Pelodiscus sinensis: one gene and its partner. The protein of the gene in region 1 purifies or fractionates together with the protein of each later gene. This does not show direct contact. Links are inferred from orthologs where the notes say so. Each region holds a gene or a part of one and is shown on either strand. Other genes may lie near its edges.

Evidence for each region.
Region 2: the proteins of UQCRFS1 (region 1) and LYRM7 purify together in Homo sapiens (co-immunoprecipitation; 5 studies listed by BioGRID and IntAct, with this or other methods). This does not show direct contact. The link is inferred for Pelodiscus sinensis from reciprocal best matches to the Homo sapiens genes UQCRFS1 and LYRM7.

The regions. Positions count from the first base shown.
Region 1 is NC_134722.1:26,390,072-26,402,368, forward strand, and holds UQCRFS1 (cytochrome b-c1 complex subunit Rieske, mitochondrial), read left to right. Parts: upstream 1-5,966; 5' UTR 5,967-6,042; coding exon 6,043-6,253; intron 6,254-10,400; coding exon 10,401-11,011; 3' UTR 11,012-11,180; downstream 11,181-12,297.
Region 2 is NC_134716.1:49,391,535-49,404,067, reverse strand, and holds the start of LYRM7 (complex III assembly factor LYRM7), read left to right. Parts: upstream 1-7,558; 5' UTR 7,559-7,863; coding exon 7,864-7,881; intron 7,882-9,708; coding exon 9,709-9,781; intron 9,782-12,533.

The DNA of each region.
Region 1 (12,297 bases):
ATTTGGAGCTTTTAGGTGATTGTATTGATTGGAGGCACACTTATTCTACTTAGTTATAAAATAATTTATTAATCAGCAAATCTCCTTATGGGATATAGAGTTTAATTATTGTAGAAGTCTGTGCAGAGGAAAATCTCAATTAAAACTCAGTGAAATAAACTATCAAACAATATTTTGCTATTCCATTTGTGTTTGGAATCAATGATTACAAATAATATCCTTTGAGAATAAGATATTGGAAACAAATATTACAGCAGATAAAGTGTAGAAAAGGGGGCAGGTTCTTCAAATAAACATTAACTATAACCTTAAAATACAGATTATATGCAAAATATTTTTTAGTTTCTGTCTAGTGTCATTGATTTTGAAGTAAATAAATTGTTAATAAAGATTTTACTACTTACAGGCAAAGTTTGGATTGTACACACACTTTGCTATTATGCTTTGTAATGTATACAGGCAGTCTCCGACTTACGCGGATCCGACTCACAGCTAGTGCCCCCCTCAGCAGACCAGGCTTTTCTTGCCTACCCTTGGGGTAGAGCAGCTGGGGGCTGCCGGGTTGGTCCCGCAGCGCCGCTCTGGACCAGCCCAGCAGCACCCCAGCTGCTCTGCCCCAGGTGTCCTGATTCAGCCGCTGCTGGTCAGTTTCAGCAGCGGCTGAATCAGGATGCCTGGGGCAGAGCAGCTGAGGTGCTGCAGGGTTGCTCCAGTAGCGCCGAGGAGCTGTGCTACTGAAGCAACCCAGCAGCACCCCAGCTGCTCTGCCCCAGGCATCCCCAAGTCAGCCGCTGCTGAAACTGACCAGCGCTGACTACAGGAAGCCCAAGGCAGAGTTGCTCTGCCCCAGGCTTTCTGGAATCAGCCGCTGATCAGTTTCAGCAGCAGCTGACTTGGGGATGCCTGGGTTTCTTAAGTTGAATCTGTATGTAAGTCAGAACTGGCATCCAGATTCAGCCGCGGTTGAAACTGATCAGTTTCAGCAGCGGCTGACGCCAGTTCCGACTTACATACAGATTCAACTTAAGAACAAACCTACAGTCCCTATCTTGTACATAACCCGGGGACTGCCTGTACTGCAAAAGCAAGATTGTCTATCATAAGCTTTCTGGACCAGAACAGGTCAATTAAACTACTGACAGTGTGAAAAGTTGTTAACATGAGTGGACTTTCAGATGAATCTGTTCCTCTAAAGACTAAAACACATGGATAATTTTACTCATGTGAGTTTATTGCATGGGGGGAGGGGGAATGCCTATTGAATTACTCCCATGAACAAAATTACCCACATGAATACATTTTATCAGTATTGCTCCCCATATTAATATAATTTGTATTGCTCACTGGAAGTCTTCCTCAGTATACAATCTTAAAATAATTTGCTAATGACAACACTGGCAACTACTAGAATTTAAACTTCTAACTCCTAAAATGAGTAGCAATCCTTTAAGCTCATTTTTGAATGGGATGGATTAATTGCCTGATGAGTTGCAATTGGAGGGATGTCTTGAGCTGGAGTTGTGGATAGCTGTTCAGCTCAAAAAGCTGGTTAACATCTCAATGTTCAGACAAGTGTTAAGTGTTTGGGCTGCCAGATGGAACTCAAGTGGAACCAAACTTAATTTATGTAATTAATGCATCAGCTGAGTATAGTCTACCATATATTATGTTAGATTCAGTGACAAAGTAAAAAAGTGAGAATGCAGCTTTATTTTCACAATCATTTGAAGACAAATGGAGTTTCCATAGTTTTTTGAAATTTTTAAATCTGAAGTTGCACCTGCCCTTCCCAAATCTCATGAAATTTTCATGCAAGTTTAGAAATGATGCCTAAGTAATGTAAGGATGGGAAGTGCTGTCCAAAAGAACAAATCCCTTCAGGAGCTGGGATAACATATCCAAGTGGAATCTGTAATTTGGTATTGACTATAAGATATACTGGCCTGAGCAGCTGCTGCCTCTCTCTACTGTGATGCTACAGCTAGGAGGCACTGAAGCTAAAGCTGCCTTTCTTGCTGTAAAAGAGGGAGCTGATGATAAGACCTTCTCTATCCTCACCATTCAAATGTACACCCCACACTCAGTCTGAAACAAGTGGAATCTATTGGCCCTCCAGGCATGCTGCAAAGCTCAGCTTTTAACGAGATCTTTTGGGAAGGGAAGATTTGCTTGAAGGGTAATATTTAAAGGATGAGGAATGAGGATATGTAAGTTTATCTGTAGGGTGTGGTTTATTACGTTATTGTTCTATTTTGGGGGTAGCTACTGCCATGGTGATTTTTATTGTGACTTTAATTATGTGTCCAAAGTGCCAAGAGACTGAGACAGACACTTCTTGGAGTCTTATAAACTTAAAGCAATATAAACAACAACTGAGCAATTTTGACATTTAATGGCTTTGCGTGTCCTTATATACAGGCAGTCCCCGGGTTACGTACAAGATAGGGACTGTAGGTTTGTTCTTAAGTTGAATCTGTATGTAAGTCGGAACTGGCGTCCAGATTCAGCCGCTGCTGAAACTGATCAGTTTCAACAGTGGCTGAATCTGGACGCCAGTTCTGACTTACATACAGATTCAACTTAAGAACCCCAGGCATCCCCAAGTCAGCTGCTGCTGAAACTGATCAGCGGCTGATTCCAGGAAGCCCGGGGCAGGGGCTTCCTGTAGTCAGCCACTGGTCATTTTCAGCAGCTGCTGACTAGGGGACACCTGGGGCAGAGCAGCTGGGGTGCTGCTGGGTTGGTCCAGTGGCACCCAGAGCGGCGCTACGGGACCAACCGGCAGCGCCCCAGCTGCTGTACCACAGGCATCCGGAGCAAAGCCGCGGAGCACGGGGGCAGCGGGACAGCCCAGACGCACCGTGGCTATCCTGCTGCCCTCGGGCTTCGTGGCTTTGCTCTGCTTTGCTCCCCGTCCCCCTGGTCTGCAGACCAGGGGGACGGGGAGCAAAGCAGCGGAACACGCGGGCAGCGGGACAGCCCAGACGCGCCGTGGCTATCCTGCTGCCCTCGGGCTCCACGGCTTTGCTCTGCTCTGCTCCCCGTCCCCCAGGTCTGCAGACCAGGGGGAGGGGGAGCAGAGTAGAGCAGAGGGCGGAACCCACGGCCAGCTGACAGCCCAGACGCGTCTGGGCTGTCAGCTGGTCGCGTGCTCCGCTCTGCTTCCCCCCACCCCCATGGTTTGCAGACCAGGGGGAGGGGGAGCAGAGCGGAGCAGAGCAGAGCGGCAGAACGCGCGGCCAGCTGACAGCCCAGAAGCGTCTGGGCTGTCAGCTGGCTGCGCGTTCCGCCGCTCTGCTCTGCTCCGCTCTGCTCCCCCTCCCCCTGGTCTGCAGGGGGGGGGGAGCAGAGCGGAGCGCGCGGCCAGCTGACAGCCCAGACGCGTCTGGGCTGTCAGCTGGCCGCGCGTTCCGCCGCCGCTTTGCTTCCTCTCCCTGGTCTGCTCGAGACCAGGGAGAGGAAGTGCCCCGTTCGTAACTGCGGATCCGACATAAGTCGGATCCGCGTAACTCGGGGACTGCCTGTATACGGAAACCTCCAAATATACACAAAATTAGATTACAAACTCACATCTGAAAAGCTCCACAATGGTATGATATGCAAACTGAATAGTCTCCAGTTTGCCCTATATTTTAGGTCTAGCAGATGAAGTTTGTTTCATCTCAGTTGAGTTTAAAATAAACAAAAAGGCATGTGAATTTTAAAAGTTCTACTAAAGAAAATCAAGATCATCACAGTTTGCTAATAAAATGTTCTAATATAGGACTAAGACCATATCTCACTCATCTAGGTATACACCCAGAGAAACACCATTGAAGATAATGGGTGTAAATCAAATATGCATTGTGTAGGTAAAATTCACATAATACATGTTCTGCAGTAATAAAATTATTTCAGCCAAAATATATATAAATGGCCTTACTCTGTTCTATTCTATACCACTGTAAAACTGATGTAATGGAGTGGAGAATTGGGCCCCAAATGTGTGCAAATGACTAAAGGTAGAGGGATAATTTGTGGTCCCAAAATGAGAGAATATATACTTTTGGTGAGAACTACAGCTGCTGTGTTCCTCCACCCTGCTAATCATTGATGATGAGAATGAGTTTCAGGGGAACTGTTTGACTTCTGTAGGAGCCTGAGTTCCAGACAGAACGTGCTGATGGTAAGCAATGTATGAGAGACTGAAGCTGTAGAAACTGGAGACTGGTCACAGAAGTGTAGTGATAAAAATAACAAGCGTGTGGTGAAAAATGTGCTTTACATTTTTCAGACATGATATAAAATTTATGGCCCACAAATTTCCAGAGACAAAGTGCAAGATTATCACTGTTTTTCTCCCTTGAAACAGAAATAATGACTAGAAAAACAGGACAACAGTCAAATCAGCTTAAAGAAAGGAGGGAGGAGGGAAAGAGATTTAAAAAGGAAACCTGACAGCACACAGAGAAAGAAAAGAGCATATAACTTGTCTCTGAATTTTAACAATTTTTCTTCAGATAATGGTTAAAGATGTTTCATTAATAACCCAGATGGTGTCATGATAGAGGATGAGATGCGTAAAGTGATGACAAGCCTCACCAGGGCACAGACTGGTGCCTTTCTCATAAGGAACAATTGTGCTTGCTAAGCCATTCCCTGCCAGGAAAGAAAGGAGCTAGCATCGGATACAGGCAAGACCGTCACCACAGTGTCAATACCAAGTGCCAGCTAATTTTAAACCCTAAGCTGAGAATGGTAATAATATTAAACACGTGTGTTTGTAGGATTGTGGCTTTTGATACCAGGCCAACTAGTGTCATATAACTGTCTAAAGATCTAATAGAATTAAACAGTGCATTCCAAAAACACAGCCATGAAGAATCACCATGCCACGGTGGGCATGATGTTTTGGTGTGACAGGACAGTGTTTTCACATGGGGGCTACGTCTACACTGGCCCCTTTTCCGGAAGGGGCATGTAAATTTCACCAGTCGTCGTAGGGAAATCCGCGGGGGATTTAAATATCCCCCACGGCATTTAAATAAAAATGTCCGCCGCTTTTTTCCGGCTTTTAAAAAAGCCGGAAAAGAGCGTCTACACTGGCCCCGATCCTCCGGAAAAAGTGCCCTTTTCCGGAGGGTCTTATTCCTACTTTGAATAAGTGCCGCTTTTCCGGAAAAATTTGCCAGCTGTCTACACTGACCGCTTGAATTTCCGCAAAAGCACTGACTTCCTACTGTAAGAAATCAGTGCTTCTTGCGGAAATACTATTCTGCTCCCATTCAGGCAAAAGGGCCAGTGTAGACAGTTCAGATTTGTTTTCCGCAAAAAAGCCCCAATCGCGAAAATGGCGATCGGGGCTTTTTTGCGGAAAAGCGCGTCTAGATTGTCACAGATGCTTTTCCGCAAAAAGTGCTTTTGTGGAAAAGCATCCGTGCCAATCTAGATGCTCTGTTCCGAAAATGCTTTTAATGGAAAACTTTTCTGTCAAAAGCATTTCCGGAAAATCATGTCAATCTAGACGCAGCCATTCTGAACAAGGATTGTGCAGCTGGCCAGCACAGGTGGCTGGGCTTGGGGACCTCTAGAGGGCCCTTCCCTCCCTACATTTCTGTGATTCCATCCAGTTGAGGTGACTTGTCATTTTGGGTGCAGTATCCGCAACCCGCTAGCCGTCTGAAGGGCATGACGTCACTGGTGTGAGATGACCTCATGTATTACGTAGCATAAGGTCACCAGGCTGCGGTAGTGGTTTGAATGACGTCACCGCCGGGCTGCAGCGGCAGTGCCTGCTGGGGTCCGGGAGGTTACTGAAGCCAGCTGGCCCGCAAGTCTCAGCCAAACCTGGGGACAAACGCGAGCCTGGGTGACGTCACGGAGAGTGACCTTGGCAGAAGCAACCCGAGGGGGCGGGGCGTGCGCACGTACGGGCAGGGGGCGGGGCGTGCGCACGTACGGGCAGGGGGCGGGGCACGTCGCCCGCGCGGCGTCAGGGCTGTCGGGAAGTTGCGCCCGCCCTATGACCGACTGAGGTGACCCACCTCAGACGCACTCGCCGCCATGTTGTCCGTGGCTGCCCGTGCCGGCCCCCTGGCTCCGTACCTGTCGGCCGCGGCGCACGCCGTGCCGGGCCCGCTGAAGCCGCTGGTGCCGGAGGTGGTGCTGCGGCCCGGGAAGCTGCCGCTGGACGCGAAGCGGTTGGTGCTGAGCCGGGAATCGCTGAGCGGCCGAGCGCCCCGCGGAGGCCTCGTCGCCACCGCCAGCATCAACGGTGCGGCACGGGGGTGGGGCAGTCGGGGCTCGGGCTGGAGACGGGCCGCTAGCGGGGGTGGGTGGGCCGCTGTAGCCGGCCGGGGCCTGTGGGAGCAGCGGCGGGGGGTGTGTGGCTCGGTGCGGGGGAGGCCTGGCCTGCGGCTCCAGGGTTGCGTGAGCCGGGGCAGCGCTTCCCGTGCGCGGGTTTCGTCTGCAGCTCCGCTGTGAGTTACTGCCGCTGGCCTGCGCCCGGGCACCGTTTGTGCCCGTTCCCAGCGGCGGAAATGTCCGCAGTGCGCAGGGTCGGGGGCCGGTGGGCTGTCCAAAGCTCCCCCCCCCCCCGTGCGGGACGCCGAGGGGGACTGGGAAACCTGAGCAGCTCTGAGTCGTTTCCACGCTCAAGGATGTAATTGAATCGAATCCAGTGCCAACTGCTTGGTCTGAAGTAGGGCGTTAAAAGGTTAACAGGTACTGACGGGAGCAGCTCCAGTGCGGGCGGGGCCCCTGTCTTTGCCCCACCCCCACCACAGGTTACACGCTGTGGCCCGCTGGCAGGGGCTGCCGGGCAAAGACACTTCCCCTCCCAGCCGGACCAGCAGGGATTGGTGGGCCCCGACTTTCCTGCGGACTCTTTTATGAGGGATGTGAAGGACTAGTCGCTTATTGTATAGTCAACACACTAGTTGACTAGTCATGCCCCCTCCCCACTTACTGCCTCTATTAGAAAGAGGCGGGGAGGGGGGGTACAGAGGAGGGGATGTTTCAAAGTGGCAGTGCTGTGGGGTGCCGGGGGTCTGCCACTTTGAAATGCCCCATGCTCCCCACAGCGCTTTCATCTTTGAAATGTAGCTTCAAAGATAGAGGCGTGCTTATGGACTAATTGAATAGTCTATGCAAATTGCATTGACTATTCGATTAGCCAGTTAATCTAAATTTGACATCCCTGCAGCATGTGTAACAGTGCTGCAGTGTGTGTAACAGTGTAACCGCTGAAATTTCTTAGCAGTTACAGGGTTACCTTTTAAAATAGCTTTTTATATTTCTAATCAGAAGTAGTGATTTTAGATAACTTGTGCTTGACTCCTTGAAGGTACTACTCGCAGGCTTTCATTTCACAGCTCCGGAATGGGGATAGAATAGAAAACACTGCATGTAGCACATGAATACAGGCAGTCCCCGACTTATGAACGGGTTATGTTCCGATCACGTAGTTGTAACTTGATTTGGTCATAAGTCGGAAATACCCTTAAACACGCTGCCCGCACTGTTCGAAATACTTGACGTACATGGTTCTCAACTGGAAAATTTTAGAATGGGGTTAATAGGAGATTGGTTGTAAGTACAGATGGTCGTAAATTGGTGTGTTGGTAAGTCGGAGTGGCTGTAGTTTTAATTACAAAGTGAAAGACTTATTTTTGAGATCAAAAGAAGGAGCTTTGTTAAGTGAGAGAGATTAAAACTTTTTTTCTGCCATCAGCCTTTTTCTAGTTCATGCAGTGCTTTGTGTAAGGGTATTGACAGTTTTTCCTCTGAATAAAATGTTTGAGTAGTGTTGGACTTTACAGGACTTAATTTTCAAACCAAGCGTGGTCGGAGCAATAGAAAATTTTTGATGCAAAGCTTCAATATAATCCTTTTTCAATAATTCTGTCCATGTTCATTTTTTAAAGTGTGTATTACGTTTCTGTATAAAACAGTGGGCTTACATGTAATAATGTAGAACTATGCTGTGCCCTTGAACAAATATTATCCAGTTGACACGTTACATACCTCTTGGCCTTGTCCACATTGACTCAAGTCTTGTTTAACATCAGTGTGCTGACAAAACATAGTTTATATTCAACACTAAACAAGAGGATTAATGCTGAATTACTTTCCCATTGAAAAGAGCACATACAACATTTTAAAGCTAAAATTGTTGCAAAACTACCTCCTCGCTAATTAATTTCTCTGCAGTTAAAGATTAAGAAAATGGCTTCTCTTCGCAAAGTTCCTCGTAAATAGATGCACTTTATTTCCTCCATCAGTTGTAACTTGGTGCAGTCCCTGCATGATGATTTCCTTTGCACATAACACCTAATTCTTATCAATCCTTTCAGGAGACACTTTTGTTAACCTTCTGTGTTACTGATGGTGATTTCTGGGGGAAAAATTAAACATGTAGTACAAACTCTGGTCATCTGAAGAAATGGGCTGTGCCCACAAAAGCTCATGATACCATCTACATGTTTTGTTAGTCTCTAAAGTTCTACCAGACCATTAGTCTGTACAGAATAACCTAAAAAACAAACTCAGCTACCCTCTGAAACTTCTAAACATGCAGTGTAAGGCTGAATATCTTCTTACACAACAAAATCTGTTTTCAGTCTTTAAATTGATATTTACATTATTCTTTAGCTGCATAACATGGCCATTTTGGCATAGTAATTGTCTAACTGGGAATCAAACCAGTAAAGTTTGACACAAGAATGTAAATATCAGATTTAAGGGAAACCTGTTAAATTTATGCAGTAATCCCGCATATACATGCTTGTTTAGTTTTACACTCTTGTGAGAGGATCCATTGAAGTCAAAAGTTAACTAAACGTGTAAATGTTTGCAGTTTCATGGCCTAAATGCTTTTGAAATCCCTATTTCTTAATCCCATTGTTTCCAGGAACTTTCAAATGAAAGAAATCTGACTTTAAGAATTTGTCTTACTCTTCTCTTCCTGTGCCCATGCTAGTGTAGAATGTTAACATGTACAGTAGCTATGCTGTCAAGGGCTGATTGGCCACCAAACAGCTAAAGTGTTTTTAAAATTAGGGTAAGCCATCGCTCAAGTAGTCTTTCCATAAGAAAAGTATGGAAGGGAGGATTTAGCGAAGACCAGATTTCAAGCTTTTGAGTTGTAGAATTGTAAAGTGTTCTTTAACTAGGAATGTAAAATGCCATTTAATTAGTAAACATGATGTTTAAGTGGTTAACCAATTAAACGGAGCAGCCCCTGTTAGGAATGGTAAATATTGGTTAATCGACTACTCGATTAACCTTATGAATTCTTATCAGTTACTCGACTATTCTCTAGTACCCGGAGAGTGGGGCCAGCAGCCCAGTGCACTAAGGCTCCACTCCCGAGTAAACCTGCCACTCTGTGAGCTGGTCTGTGAGGAGAGCCAGTTTTAAAAACAGCTTATCTCACAGACTGGCTGCCTGTCACCCTATGTCACCCTCTGTAGGTTTATAGCAGCTCCTGTCTGAAGAGGGTCTGAGCTCCCAGACCCAGCACAAACTGGGACTGAGCCGGGCTGCTTGCCTGCTTAGCTCCTAACGCACTTTAATGCAGAGTCGCAGCAGGGGTAGGTCCCAGCCTGTCACAAGGAAGGACTGAGCCAGGGCGCTGGTCAGCCTACAAAAATATTTACTGGTGGCGGCGGGAGGATAGGGGGAGAAATGCATGTAATCTATAACATTAACCTAAAAGCTTTTGCTTATTGGTTAATTGAGACACAATTATATCTCTAGCCCCTCTCCTGTATTTTAAGCTGTGCCCGTGCTCTTTTAAATTAACAAATAGTTCAGGGGTGGCCAACCAATTGGACAATAAGAGCCAAAAAAGCTGTGGATAATAGTGCAGAGAACCACACATCCCTCCCCCAGAGCCAGCCACCCCCAGGCCTCTCCCATTCTAACCCAATGCCTGGACCTCACCAGAGATGCCACCACCACAGCCATGCACTTTTCCCTCCAGGAACTGGGGCGTGTGCATAAAGCGAGCATTTGGCTCTGAACGACCTGTAGCCCCGAGAGTTGCATTTCTGTGAGCAAAGAGCTGCATGTGGCTCAAGAGCCACAGGTTAGCCACCCCTGGAATAGTTCATTTGTGAATATAATACAATCTGGAGTGTCTTTTTAGACACAGGGCTTATAATGTCAGATTTCGGTGGGAGTGGCAAAGATCATTGATAAAAACGTGTTAGGTTTCACAAATAATCTTGTAGTATCGCAACTGGATGTTAACTTTTACTTTTAACAATATGCAGTAATAAGGATTACTTTTTACAGAAAGTATTTTGGACCTCTTTCAAATTTCACCTTCAATCTCTGGAAACAAAGCTTCATAATCAGTATAGTACTAAGTCTTTAAGAAGATGCTTGCAGTTAATACTATTTACTTTTTGTTGCAGCTCCAGCTAGTGTTCGTTACCTTCACAATGATGTGTCAGTACCTGACTTCTCTGACTACCGTCGCCAAGAAGTGTTAGATAAAACAAAATCTTCTCAAGATAGCAGCGATGCTAGAAAAGGGTTTTCCTATCTTCTGACTGCATCAACATGCATAGCCACTGCATATGCTGCTAAGAATATTGTCACCCAGTTTGTTTCCAGCATGAGTGCTTCTGCTGATGTGTTAGCTTTGTCAAAAATTGAGATAAAGTTGTCTGATATTCCAGAAGGCAAGAGTGTGGCTTTCAAATGGAGAGGGAAACCCCTTTTTGTGCGTCACAGAACCCAGCAGGAGATTAATCAGGAAGCTGAAGTACCACTGACTGAACTAAGAGATCCACAGCATGATTTAGACAGAGTAAAAAAACCAGAATGGATTATACTGATAGGTGTCTGCACTCATCTTGGATGTGTACCCATTGCAAATGCTGGAGAATTCGGTGGTTATTACTGCCCTTGTCATGGGTCACACTATGATGCATCTGGCAGAATCCGAAAAGGTCCTGCTCCAGCCAACCTTGAGGTTCCAGATTATGAATTTACTTCTGATAACGTTGTTATTGTTGGTTAAATAACTGGACGATGATCTGTTTCATCTTTTTCTGTATGAACATTGTAAAAAAAGGTTAAGATTCTGGTGTGGTATAACATTAAATTATCCAAAAAATGTACCTAACTGTTTAAAGTCACCGTTATCAAGAAGTATGCTTAAATGTTTCCGAATAAAGAATCAGACTTGAGTGATCTGTCATTTATTTGGTGTTTAAATTCCAGGAAATCTGCTGGTAGTACCTAATAAAGTTCTGGATGTCCTTAGGGATGTAAGCGATTATATGCATACAGCAAGGGAGGAGCGGAAACCAGCATAAAAGCCTTTCTCCTCCTCCTCCTCCCCCCCCCCCCCCCCGCCCCCCCAGCACTTTCTCCGAGGGAGCAGGGGAGGAAAAGGGGTAGCCGGAAGCTAGGGCCTTATCTAGGAATCATCTCAAACGCTGCACCTCTGTTTTTTAAATGTATTAAGAGCCTACCGGCTCTTAATATATTTAATAAAAAGCAGAACCGCAGCGCGGTTAGCTCCTAGCCCATCGATTAGTTGATTAAACTTACGTAACATCCGTAGAGGCCTTATAGTGTAAATAGGGATGAGGAATCATTGGAACAGAAAACATAAGCCAGAATTTTCCCTACTTAACCCTAGCCATTTCAATCCTCCCAAGAAAGCCCTTGCGTACTATAAAAAGAGAATCTGACATGGGAACAAATTCATAATGTTAAGGAACAGAAACAATCTGTAAGAGGCATACTTAAACAACTCTGCTCATAGTTACACAATTTACTGTAGTTTGAAGTATCATGCTTTCTACAGCAGTAATAAATCAGTTTTTACTTTGATTATAGATGGAGATGAACACTGATTAAACCATAGCGACACTTCTATATGTAGTTGTATGTCAAAGTCAAGTTCTAATTTCATTCACATTTTAAATAGAAGCACCTTTTGACAAGCAAAAAAAAAAAAAGCATAGGCAAAGTCTGACCATAAAGCATGAGACTATTCTTTTATTTATGCTTTCACACAATTTCAGTCCATGAATAAAGTCAGATTAAATCATTATAATAAGGTGAGAGGTGAAACCACAATCCTTTCTCAAATCTGTGTTTTGGAAAGGTTAGTCTGACACTTAAATGGAGATGTCCCATTTTGCCATTACCACAAAAGGCAATTGTTTCCAGTGCTGTTTTATATGTTGTGTGTATATATTATATAGGAAATCTATGCTCCTGACTCATGGCTCTTTGAATAGATTGCCATATCTGAGTAAAATAACTTCTATATATGATTTACTGTAATATATT
Region 2 (12,533 bases), on another chromosome or scaffold:
AAGATGCTGTGTGAAGCTGCATGCCAAGCAAACAAGAGGAATTTCCAAACGTCCCAGGCCTTTAAATGGGAGAGAGTGTGTGTATATATGCATGCGTGCGTGCATGTAGGGGGGAAGAGACAGAAAGAGGGAGGCATACCTGTGTATCCTCTATATATCAGAGGTCAAACTGCTGACCAGGTTAGTCATGATGGGCATTGTAGAACACCACCTGGCGGGAGACCAATTAGGGAAATATAACCAAGTGAGGAGTCTACACTGATGATGCATCACTCTATCTAGGTTGCAAAAATCTGTGTCACTTGTCAAGGTGTTGGTTTTTTATGTTGGTATAGCAAAGGAGTAACATAGGCAGGAGGAGCAATTCAGGGTATATATACCTCCACTGTTTTGTCAATGAAAGCGGACTTTTGTCAACAAAACTTTAGTATAGACAAGGCCTTAGACAACAAAGTGGCAGTTGCATCTGGTTTACATTAGCATCTCCATCACCACTAGCACTGACAGAAGATTTTAAGAAAAATCTTAGCATATTTGATCCATCTTCCAAACACAAAACTAGTCAAATTCACCACACTTCACTCAGTTGAGCATAATCCATTCAGTGTTTCCAGGTGGAACTACTTTTGAGAGATAAAAATATTCCAAAAACTGTAAAAACAAAAATACACTGTCCACCTTATTTTTAAACTTCATAGTTTGCAAAGCCCTGGTCTGATTCCCCGCCTCCCCACCACCACCACTTTCCATAAACATTCTTTTATATAGGATAACCATATGCTCTTATAAGTTAAATATGTGATTTATCCATAACTATGGAGAGAATAATGGGCAGAATTCTGTTCCTAGACCAGCATAAATCTTGAGTTACTTCTGTTATTTGAGGTAGGTGTAAAAGAGCAGAACTTGTCATACTTCTTCCACAATGGCTCTCTAGCAAAAAATATATCCTGGAGCACTAAAGAAATGTCTGACCAAACAAATCAAAGAACAGTGGGCTGAAAATCTGTCCTTTACCTCACCCCACTGTATGTAGGTATTTTGGTACATATATGTCCTAAGGGTACTGCTTTGCTTATGTGTAAAGGGGTAAGATAAGGACAGAATTTCCACCTCAGCTTTTAATTTCCTTGTTTTTCTATGTTTGTCAGACAGTGAATGTTATTTTAATAAAAATGTTGTTAAAACTTCTTTATTTAAAAGGATCAAAATATTTTTAAGGAAAGAACATCAACATCGACATAATTCACAAGACACAAAATAATAAATCTATATATTCCATAAGTATTTATTTAAGGCCCTAGTCCTTTATACATGTATTTAACAGTATGCTTTGTAAGCAGTTCCTGATTTCACTGGAGTTGTTAATCTCTATTATTTACTAGTTATTAATAGCTCAAAGAGATAATCAAAGTGATGGAAGCATCATAATGATAAAAAACACATAATTTAACAATATCATTCTAAATATGCTACAGCCTTTTTTTTCAAATGTAATAAATAGACCCGATTGAATAATTCTTATCAAACCATTTATTTATTTTTTCAATATAGTGCTGCAAATAGCTTAAAATAGTCAAAAATCTGTTATTCACACGGGTTTTATTAATAGTTGAATAATTCACTAATACATACCTTGAATCTGCAATCATATTTAATGAAAAGATTTTTACACCTTTTAGTACATCATACTTCAGGATCAGTGCCCTGTTCACTGAATAATTTATCCAACATTGTGAGGGGGTGTGGTCACAGGACTCCCCTTAAGATTGTTTCCAAGTGTACTGATCATGTCTTCTTTCTTGCTTTCTGGGGCTCCTCCTCACCCTATCCTGCTGGCTAGATCTTCTGGACTCCCCCAGAAAAAGCACAGAGTTGGGATAATCACTTCCCTGAAGAGCAACACAGATACCGAACCACTTCAGCTCTGGGTAGATGCAGTTCTATAGCCCAACACCCATGCAATCAACCCCCAAATGGGACCAACCCTCTTCCCCAAATACATAAATCTTTCTCTGTGTAAAAGTTGTACACAGTGAAAGCTCATCAGTTAAACCCTCTCTGTCAGTGAAATAGAGATATGCACAATGATTGTCCCCCCATACCAATTATTTACACTGGTCCTGATAGTAAAAATTATTTTTACTAAGTACAAACAGTAGGATTTAAGTAGCTGCAAGCGAAAATAGATAAATCAAAGTAAGTTACTAAATTCAAATGAAAAGAAAATGCATAGCCAGTTCTAATTCACTAAGAAACTAATTGCAAGAAAAAATAACAAGGGGTACTGTAAGAAGATTCTTGCCCAAAAGAGCTGTTCTTATTTCAAATACAATTTTCAAGTCAGAGACAAGTGTCTTTTATTCTGACTTGGGTCTCCAGCTTTCTTTGTCTCCTTTTGGAGTGTGTCTTGCCTTTTCTTAGGCCAGCTGAAGACAAAGACATGATAGCTTCCTATTGCTTAAATAGACTCTCCCTAGGGTGGGAATCTTCTGTTTTAAATCCCCCCTTTGGCAGAAATTTACCAGATTCAAAATGGATACCAGCATCAGGTGGTATGGTCATGTCACCAGCCACCTTCTGTACTTACAGGACAAACAAGGCTGTTTACAAGTCATTAAGCTGATCACCAGTCATTAAGCTCATTGGCACATTTAAACTGTAAACAGACTCACACTAGATACTTGTAGCTTTACATATAAGGATGAAACAGTACATTCATCAAAATAGTATACATAGGTCAAGCAAACTGTAACATTTAAATTAATAGATTACATGAGGTATTTTATCTAAAGCATCTTTGAGTTATGCATATTTATATTCCTAAGGCAATTTTGAGAAATCGGGGGGAAGAACGGTCACAAACATATTTCAGGAAGTATTCAAAAATATTTCATGATTATTAAACATTATTCATCCAGTGTCAGCAATAAATTGTTACAATAACATATCTTCTCCTATATAACACATTTTATCTCAAAGTAAATTTCCCTCAAAGGAAATAATCTCCTGAAAAGAGAATATGACAAGAAAATGCTGGCAGACTGTTACATACAGGCAGTCCCCGACTTACGCGGATCCGACTTATGTCGGATCCGCACTTACGAACGGGGCTTTTCTCGCCCCGGAGCTCGCAGGCAGCGGTCCTGCCACCTCGACCTCCGGGGCGAGAAAAGCTGCTCCTGATGCCCCTGGTCTGTTGGGGACCGTCTCCAGCAGACCAGGGGCACCGGGAGCAAAGCCGCAGCCGCAGCCGCAGCCAGAGCAAAGCCTCAGAGGCGCGGCACCCCGCTGCCGCTGCGGCTTTGCTCCCCGTGTCCCTGGTCTGCTGGGACAGGGGTGTCAGCCGACGGTCAGGGCAGTGTGTGTGTGTATGCTTCCGAGAAAAGGTTTAACGTCCGTGTCTTTACTGCTAGGACCGGGGTCCCGTCGCAGAGGGTGGCCAGCAGGCCAACAGATGCCCTGTTATATAGAAAGAGCTTATTACACCTTAGATTTTAACTGCTAGAACACAAAGTTCCTTCGCAGCGGGCAGCCTGGGAAAGGCTGGAAAGGTGCCCCAACGGATCTTGTCACCTGGGAGTGACACAGATCCAAACGCCCAAGCTCTCCCTATGTCTGTCCCTTTATGACCGGCTGAAGTTCTTTTAAATTGTGCTTGGTTCTGTTACAGCAACTGAAGGAGTCAGGTTAAAGCTTAAACAGTTACAGGTTTATTAAAAGACTTATAAAAGCATATGGTTACAATGGCTATTGCTCTATTTCTTAAATGCTAACAAATACAGATTTTAAAAAATGGTTACAAAGAAAATAAAGATAGAAAATAGAAATAATGGTACCAAGTGACAGCTTAATCTTTAAAGAGCTCTAAGTCTATGTATATATATACTTAAGCAAAGGACCACATCCAGGTACAATTTTTACCCCTTTCTGTGCCTCTCGACTCCAGCGTGTCAGGTCAGGGCCGGTCTCTCAATTCCTAGGAAAGATGAATACGAGGTGGGCGTCCCCTTGGAACCTCGGGAGATCAAACACCAAACCCGACCAGCAGATAGATGGTAGATTGACACTCAGAGAAAATGCGCTGCTGGACCTATCTTTATACCCCTGGGGGCCTGTATTCTCTTTCTTATCTAAGATGCCGAATTGTACTGGTCCGTTTTGTGGTGCCAGTTCTTACAAGCAAGTTTCAAGTTAATTTACACTTGCAAGAGAGATAACTAAATTGTGAGCACTAGACATTTTTTTACTGGGCGAGAGATTCCTCCCCCCCACGGATGGATGTGTGTTCGTATCAATATGGGTTTCAGTCAAGGGCACTCCTTGGCAGCCTCTTGGTCAGCAATTGGCGTATCTCTGTTTACAGCCATTCACGGTCACACAGCCTGGGCCTTCTGCTCTGTGTGCCCTGTATGCTCCAGGCAAGCAAAAATGGATGTTACAAGGGGGTTCCTGTCTGGCTACAAGGGGGCGCAGCTAGTGTGCCCCCCGCCCTCCCCCCCCAGCAGACCAGGCTTTTGTTGTGGACCCTGGGGCAGAGCAGCTGGGGCGCTGCCGGTTGGTCCCGCAGCGCCACTCTGGGCACTACTGGACCAACCCGGCAGCACCCCAGCTGCTCTGCCCCAGGCGTCCTGATTCAGCCGCTGCTGGTCAGTTTCAGCAGCGGCTGAATCAGGACGCATGGGGCAGAGCAGCACCCGAGCTGCTCTGCCCCTGGCGTCCCCAAGTCAGCCGCTGCTGAAACTGACCAGTGCTGACTACAGGCAGCCCGAGGCAGAGTTGCTCTGCCCCGGGCTTCCTGGAATCAGCCGCTGATCAGTTTCAGCAGCAGCTGACTTGGGGACGCTTGGGGTTCTTAAGTTGAATCTGTATGTAAGTCAGAACTGGCGGTCAGTTTCAGCAGCGGCTGAATCTGGACGCCAGTTCTGACTTACATACAGATTCAACTTAAGAACAAACCTACAGTCCCTATCTTGTACGTAACCCGGGGACTGCCTGTATATATGTGGTGTAATTATAATTAAACAAAGGCATATAGTTATCTAAAATTTGAAAGTAAAACTTAAAGCAGCAAAGATGATTAAGGAATTACATTCCCTATTTCATCCTCAATTAATCCTACCAAAAGATTCAGCTTCTGACTAATTTTTTAACTAAGCTATAAACCACTAAAAAAATTAGGTGTAAAATGAAAATGACAACTGATTCTTAACTAACAAATTACAACACTTACTGGCTTACACACCATGAAGTCTGACATATAAAGAGAACTATTTCTGTTAAAGAAATAAATTATCTAAATTAAAAAATTCCACCCAGGAATGAAAATCAGTGTGACAGAGACACCTTGAGGTTCATGTGTATGTGTTCCTATAATCAGACAGTCAATGACTGGATTCAAGTGTTTTGATGCAAGAAGGCAAAAATTAATGTTTCCTTTCTCAGAACAAAGTGGTTATAGGGACCCTTGAATGGCTTAATAACAGATGATGAAATGACAGAGCTTTCTACCATTCAGTAACTGGTCTGCATTTAGTGCATTTGCCAAAGCCCCATAACTGCTACCATTTATGAGTTTGCTGAGCCATATAAAATGAGCTGTCAGTCTCTCTTCTCTTCCTAATGTAGAGATGTCCACAAAATAAAAAATAGCCCAATGACTGCTCCCTGAGGCCAGCAGGGCCATGCAGCCCACTTCTGCTCCCTGGGACATAGCAGCCCAGAGCCCAGCTGTTGGATGCTCCCTGGTTGCTCCCGGCTGCGTCTAGACTGGCAAGTTTTTCCGCAAAAGCAACTGCTTTTGCGGAAAAACTTGCCAGCTGTCTACACTGGCCGCTTTAATGTCCGCAAGAACACTGACGATCTCATGTAAGAAATCAGTGCTTCTTGCGGAAATACTATGCTGCTCCCGTTCAGGCAAAAGTCCTTTTGTGCAAAAGCTTTTGCACAAAAGGGCCAGTGTAGACAGCTCAGATTTGTTTTGCGCAAAAAAGCCCCGATCGCGAAAATGGCGATCAGGGCTTTTTTGCGCAAAAGTGCATCTAGATTGGCATGGATGCTTTTCCACAAAAGCACTTTTTGCAGAAAAGCGTATGTGCCAATCTAGATGCTCTTTTCCGCAAATGCTTTTAACGGAAAACTTTTCCGTTAAAAGCATTTGCGGAAAATCATGCCAGTCTAGACATAGCCCTCCTGTGTTCCCCTCCCTATTTGGGAGTATAACTGTCCCACATGCTTGCTCTCCCTCCCTCAGGTACTTTTGTTAACAGAAAATTTACAATCCAATAAATTGTAAGAGTAGTTTCTTTCCCACCAATGCTGATTACTCTACATTTACCAACATCATGTTGTCTGTTTACCTAGCTTGGTTAAGTACTTCTGAAACTAGTGTCTTTCTGGCTTTAACTAACCTAAATAATTTTGTCTCATCAGCAAATATTTCCATCTCATTGTTCACCTATTTTTTCTGATTCTTATTGAATTAAATGCAATGCAAGAAGTGCTAGAGTTGATAGAACCAAAAATCACTTCCATGGGTCTATGTTGCAAATGCTGGTAAACAGAAAAATAAATCTTTGATATCTGTGAAGTTACAATAATTCCGATGTGAGTGTATATAATTTCTCTTAAGTCAACCTAGGCAATATGTATATTTTCCGAGGTTGAATTTAACAATTCCTGTAATTTTCAGTGAAAAGCAAAAATATGCCAGCTACTTCCACTCTGAGTTTCTTCCTTAGTACAAATCTAACTGTTGTCTTGTGCTGAAAATACATTACATAAATTTGTTGTTTGTTTTTATACACAGAATATTATGGATGCACTTTCCAAATCAATTATGGAAAATAAGTCATCATTTTCTAGATGACCGCTATTTCTTAGGAAATGGAAACTGCTAGCAGAGTTAAACATTAGTTAAGAACTGAAAGTAAAACAGCTATGCAACATAAATCTGTTAGATGGAAACTGATGACTTCCCAGTTTTGAAAACTGTTACGTTTTTCTTCACTAAAAATAGAAAAATATATCACAGTTATGTTATTTAGTCTGGTGGCTCTGATTCTAAGGACTTGTAAGAAAATCATTCAAAATCTTTTTTTAAAATGTCCTTGTTATGAGATCTAGGCGCCTCAGCTACTGTAACAGCGTACAAACCTCAGATGCTGGGGCAACTCACTAATTGTTACTGCTATGAGGCCTGACACAACTCCCATTGGCAGCCAGCGTGAGGCCAGTGGGCTTGGACGCTCGGTGTATTGAAGGCGCAGCTGACTAGCACAAGGCTCCTGCAGTTCAGGCGCACAGAGCCGCACTGCAGAGTGCGGGGCGCTCGGTAAAGCCCAAGCGCCTGCAGACATGTCGTTACGGGAGAGGTGTCGCCCACACCCAGCAGCCACCACGTTTAAAGCTGACGGCAGCTGGGGGCACCGATGCGGGCACAGCACCGACACTGCCTGGTGCCTGCTGGCGGAGCGGGTGTTGCGCAGGACGCGCACACAGCACCCGCGGCAAGGAACACGGGACACTTATTAGCCAATCCGATCGCTCGTTATTAAGCTGACCCCGCCCCCCCCATTCACGGTTCAGGGCATCGACCTGCCCGGATCCAGCGTTCAGGGGACGCGGCTCTATCGGGCACGAATTCCCGATGCACGAGGAAGTAGCCTCGCCGCCCGCAGTAGCGCGCGGGGAAAGGTTCGGTAGCGGCTTGTCCCGTAACGTTCCCCCAACCCTGCCGCTCCTTAACCAAAGCGCAGGAGGAGGGGGCGGCGCTGGACTGTGACCTTCCGATTGGCCTTTCATGAGCGAGGCGGTGGGCGTGGTTTCGCGGCTGCTGTGTGTGGAGGGGGAACTGCTGTGGAGATGGGGAGTCGGACGGAGGTGAGTGTGGGCGGAGGTGCGCATGCGCGGGTTCTATTGTGACCCGCAGGATTCTTCCTGAATCTTTTGAGCAACCCCATACGCGCACCGAAATGCCTGGCGAGCCCCCAGCCCGCTCAGATTTCCTATGGGGGGGGGCAGAAACCAAGACAAAAATCTCAGTCTTATCCAGGGCTGCTCCTCTTTGGAAGCTGGGGGGGGGGGTCACAATGATGCACATGCGCAGAGCTGCAACTTAAAATGTGGTTGCAAAGCCCCCCCCTCCCCCCCGCACTGCTACCAATGATAGAGAGGCAGCAGCACAGAGGGTGCGGGGAGCCAGCTTTTAAGTTGGCTCTCTGTGCATGTTGGAGCCACAGACCTGCCTGCCCTCCCCGCCTTGCTGCCTCCTACAGAGGCAGTAGCATGAGGGGGTGGCGGAGGCTGCTGCTGCAAAGCAGCCTCTGTCCACAGCGGTTCGTGTTTGGACACCCACCTCCCCTTGGACAGGAGCTGCTGCCACCCCCTGCTGGTTCCTCTGTATCAGAGGCAGCAGCATGGTGTGGCTGGGGGCTCCCCAAAAGTGAGATCAGGAAAACGCTGGCTGCCAGCTCCATCTCTGGATAGAATAGTTGTGTATCTGCTAAAATTTGATGCCTGGCTATTTAATTGCACACTATCTAACATCCCTGTTTTTAACTTTGAAGCAAATGTTACAGTTCTTTCAAAAGCTTACAACTGACCATTGACTTAAAACAGCTTTGAAACTTTACTAAGGAGGAAAGTGCTGCTTTTAAGAACATAAGAACAGCCATACTGGGTCAGACCAAAGGTCCATCCAGAAGGGCCATACTGGGTCAGACCAAAGATCCATCAAGCCCAGTATCCTGTCTGCCAACAGTTGCCAATACCAGATGCCCCAGAGAGAGGGATTGCAATAGGTAATCCTCATGTGATCCCTCACCTGTCATTCACCTCCAGAGAAACAGAGGCTAGGGATACCATTCCTACCCATCCTGGCTCATAGCCATTGATGGACCTAACCTTCATGAATTTATCTAGATCTTTTTTGAACCCTGTTAAAGTTCTAGCCTTCACCGCATCCTCTAGTAAAGAATTCCACAGCTTGATTGTGCGCTGAGTGAAGAAAAACTTCCTTTTATTTGTTTTAAACCTGCTGCCTATTAATTTCATTTGGTGACTCTTAGTTCTTTTATTGTGGGAATAAGTAAATAACTTTTCCTTATTCACTTTTTCCATTCCAGTCATGATTTTAGAGCCCTCTATCATATCCCCCCTTGATCTCCTCTTTTCTAAGCTGAAAAGTCCAAGTCTTTTTAATCTCTCTTCAAATGGCACCAGCTCCAAACTCCTGATAAGTTCAGAAAAGGGTGGCAACAAATTTTTCCAATACCAAAATGAAATAGTTTCCTTACTTCGTTAAATATTTTTAAATTTTCATTTTTAATAGTTTACATGCACAATATTTTACTGTATTTGCTTGTCATGTTTTGATCTCTACTGCTGCCTGATGGTGTACTCCTGGTTCCAAATGAAGTGTATGATTGGCCATTTAATTTGTAACTCCGGTGTTCATAATTCTGAGATCTTGTTATATTTTAGATATCAGGAATTATCTTGTCTTCTGTGTTCTATACCTCTGTTTTATCTGCAGAAAGTCTGATCAAGAATTGAGCTTACATTTCTGACCGAATGATTCGGCTGCTATGGAGGAAACAGTAGAATGCAAATAAAAATACCTTTTTAACTGCAAAAATAATAATTTTACTTAATTATTACTATTAACAAACAAAACACATTGATTGCTGACTTGTATCTTATGAACAGGTTTTAAAGCTTTTCAGAACATTGCATAGAACACGGCAACAGGTTTTTAAAAATGACGCAAGAGCCTTAGAAGGTAAGAATTTTTGTCTTCCTAGTGGGACTGTTGCATCTCTACAAAATCTCTAAGGACCCTCCTTCCTTGGGCATGCCATTGTATGAAGGTCTTTTACACGAACTATCATCATTCTCTCTGAGGGCATGTCTAAACTACATCACTCTCTCTTTTAAAAGAGGGATGTAAATTAGGCAGATCAAAAATGCAAATGAAGTGAGGATTTAAATATCCTCTGCTTCATTTGCATAATTGTCACAGTGTTCCTTTGAAAAAGGGGTATTTCGAAAGTGAAACCACTGTGTAGATGCGGTTCTTTTAGGGAAAAAAAAACCTTTTTCGATTATTTTATGTGAGTATGAAAATGAAGCACGGGCTATTTAAATCCCCGCTTCATTTGCTTCATTTGCACTTTCAATCTGCCTAATTTACATCTCTCTTTCGAAAGAGGGATATAGTTTAGACATAAGAACATAAGAACGGCCGTACTGGGTCAGACCAAAGGTCCATCTAGCCCAGTATCCTGTCTACCGACAGTGGCCAGCACCAGGTGCCCCAGAGAGGGTGGACCGAATACAATGATCAAGCGATTTGTCTTCTGCCATCCCTCTCCAGCCTCTGAGAGACAGAGGCCAAGGACACCATTTTATCCCCTGGCTAATAGCCTTTTATGGACCTAACCTCCATGAAATTATCCAGCTTCTCTTTAAACTCTATTATAGTCCTAGCCTTCACAGCCTCCTCTGGCAAGGAGTTCCACAGGTTGACTACACGCTGTGTGAAGAAGAACTTTCTTTTATTAGTTTTAAACCTGCTACCCATTAATTTCATTTGGTGTCCTCTAGTTCTTCTATTATGGAAACTAATAAATAACTTTTCTTTATCAGCCCTCCCCATACCACTCATGATTTTATAGACCTCTATCATATCCCCCCTCAGTCTCCTCTTTTCTAAACTGAAAAGTCCCAGTCGCTTTAACCTCTCCTCATATGGGACCCGTTCCAAACCCCTAATCATTTTAGTTGCCCTTTTCTGAACCCTTTCCAAGGCCAAAATATCTTTTTTGAGGTGAGGAGACCACATCTGTACACAGTATTCAAGATGTGGGCGTACCATAGTTTTATACAGGGGCAGTAAGATATTCTGGGTCTTATTTTCTATCCCTTTCCTAATAATTCCTAGCATCCTACATGCCCTGAAGGGAATTGAATTAGATTGACTCCTTTTTGGAACCTGCTGTTGTTTAATCAGCATAAGGGGTTCAGCCACACAGGGTAGAACACTCACAAAAGAAGAAAGATTGGAGTTTGCAGGTAGTCTCTGCAGATCCAGAGAGCAAACAGATGGAACAGGTTGTCAACCTGAGTCACAAGTGTGATAAACAAATTACTACTACTGTTTTGTTCAGTTTACGTAAAGCAAAACAACAGAAAACAAAAACAAAAAAGCCCTGATCCATTGAAATGCTTCAGTTTGTCTGTTTTTCTGAGTTACCAGAGAAGAGGATGCAACATTATCACATGAATAGAGCTGTTCAGAGAAAGGCAATTGTCTTTCACTGTGGATTTTAATATTTTTGAAATTTGGCTTTGTTCCAGTCGGGAATAAAACCCTAAATATGTCCAAATTCTTCACAAGAGGGAGTGGATACTCTGTCCAAGGCAGGCTGTCGCAGAGCAGCAGTCTGGAAGTCCTGAGGTCTCCAACTCCGTGGCATCCTACTAGGCAGGCAGCCCTACAGCCTGAAGCCTTAAAGTCCCCAGTTCCCAGGCACTCCTCTCAAAGTCTTTTTTGCACACTCTCAGATCCAGTACATAAAAGGAATGGTCCTGGTCTTGACCGTATATGGTTACAGGTATTTGATCAAGTTTCTAATATAGCATATTTTGTCTGCAGAGAGAATTGATCTTCAAAGGTGTTGTTGAAGTGTCTTGGGGAAAAATTAAAGTTCATTTTTCTGATTCTATTTTTCAGAGGGATTTGAAGGAAAATGAAGTGACTTTAGAAAGACTTAAGCACTGACTTAGGATATGTCTAGAGTATACGCTTCTTTCAAAAGAAGCTTTTTTTGAAACAGCTTTTTTCAAAAGAGATCGTCTAGACAGCCATACCTTTTTTGGAAAAGTGGATTGTTTTTTCAAAAAAGAGCACCCAGGCAATCTGGTAGCTCTCTTTCAAAAAAGCCCTGTTTGCGGTCAAGAACGCCTTCTTCTTCGAAAGAGCTCTTTCAAAAAAAGGCGTTCTTCCTTGTAAAATGAGATTTACCGCTGTCGAAAAAACCGCTGTGTTCTTTCACTTTAATTTTGAAAGAATGTGGCGGCAGTCTAGATGCAGGTGAAGTTTTTTGTTTTGGTTTTTTTTTTTCAAAAAAGGCCACTTTTTTTCGAAAAAAACCCTGTCGTCTAGACATAGCCTTAGTCTTCTCTCTCTTTCCACCTTTCTCTATTAAAAACAATGGTTGGGATGGAAGGAGCAAGGGAGCAGAAGGGAATGACCAAGAGGAGGAGCCAGTGGTATAATTTTTACAGGGCTTTGAATTTGTGTTTTAGAAGCTTGACCTTTCTGGGCTAGTCTACACAGCTTTTTTTGTACTGCTATAACTATAGACGTTAAGAAAATGGTATGATTCCCTGTCACGGACACAGATGGATATTAATGGGCATGTATCTGTAGTTTAAGCTTCCTTTGTCTTGTGCTGTATTTTGAAAAGCTTAAGCCCTACCAGTGTCACTGAGTAGACAGTTCTGCCAATCACATTTAGGGGTCATACTTT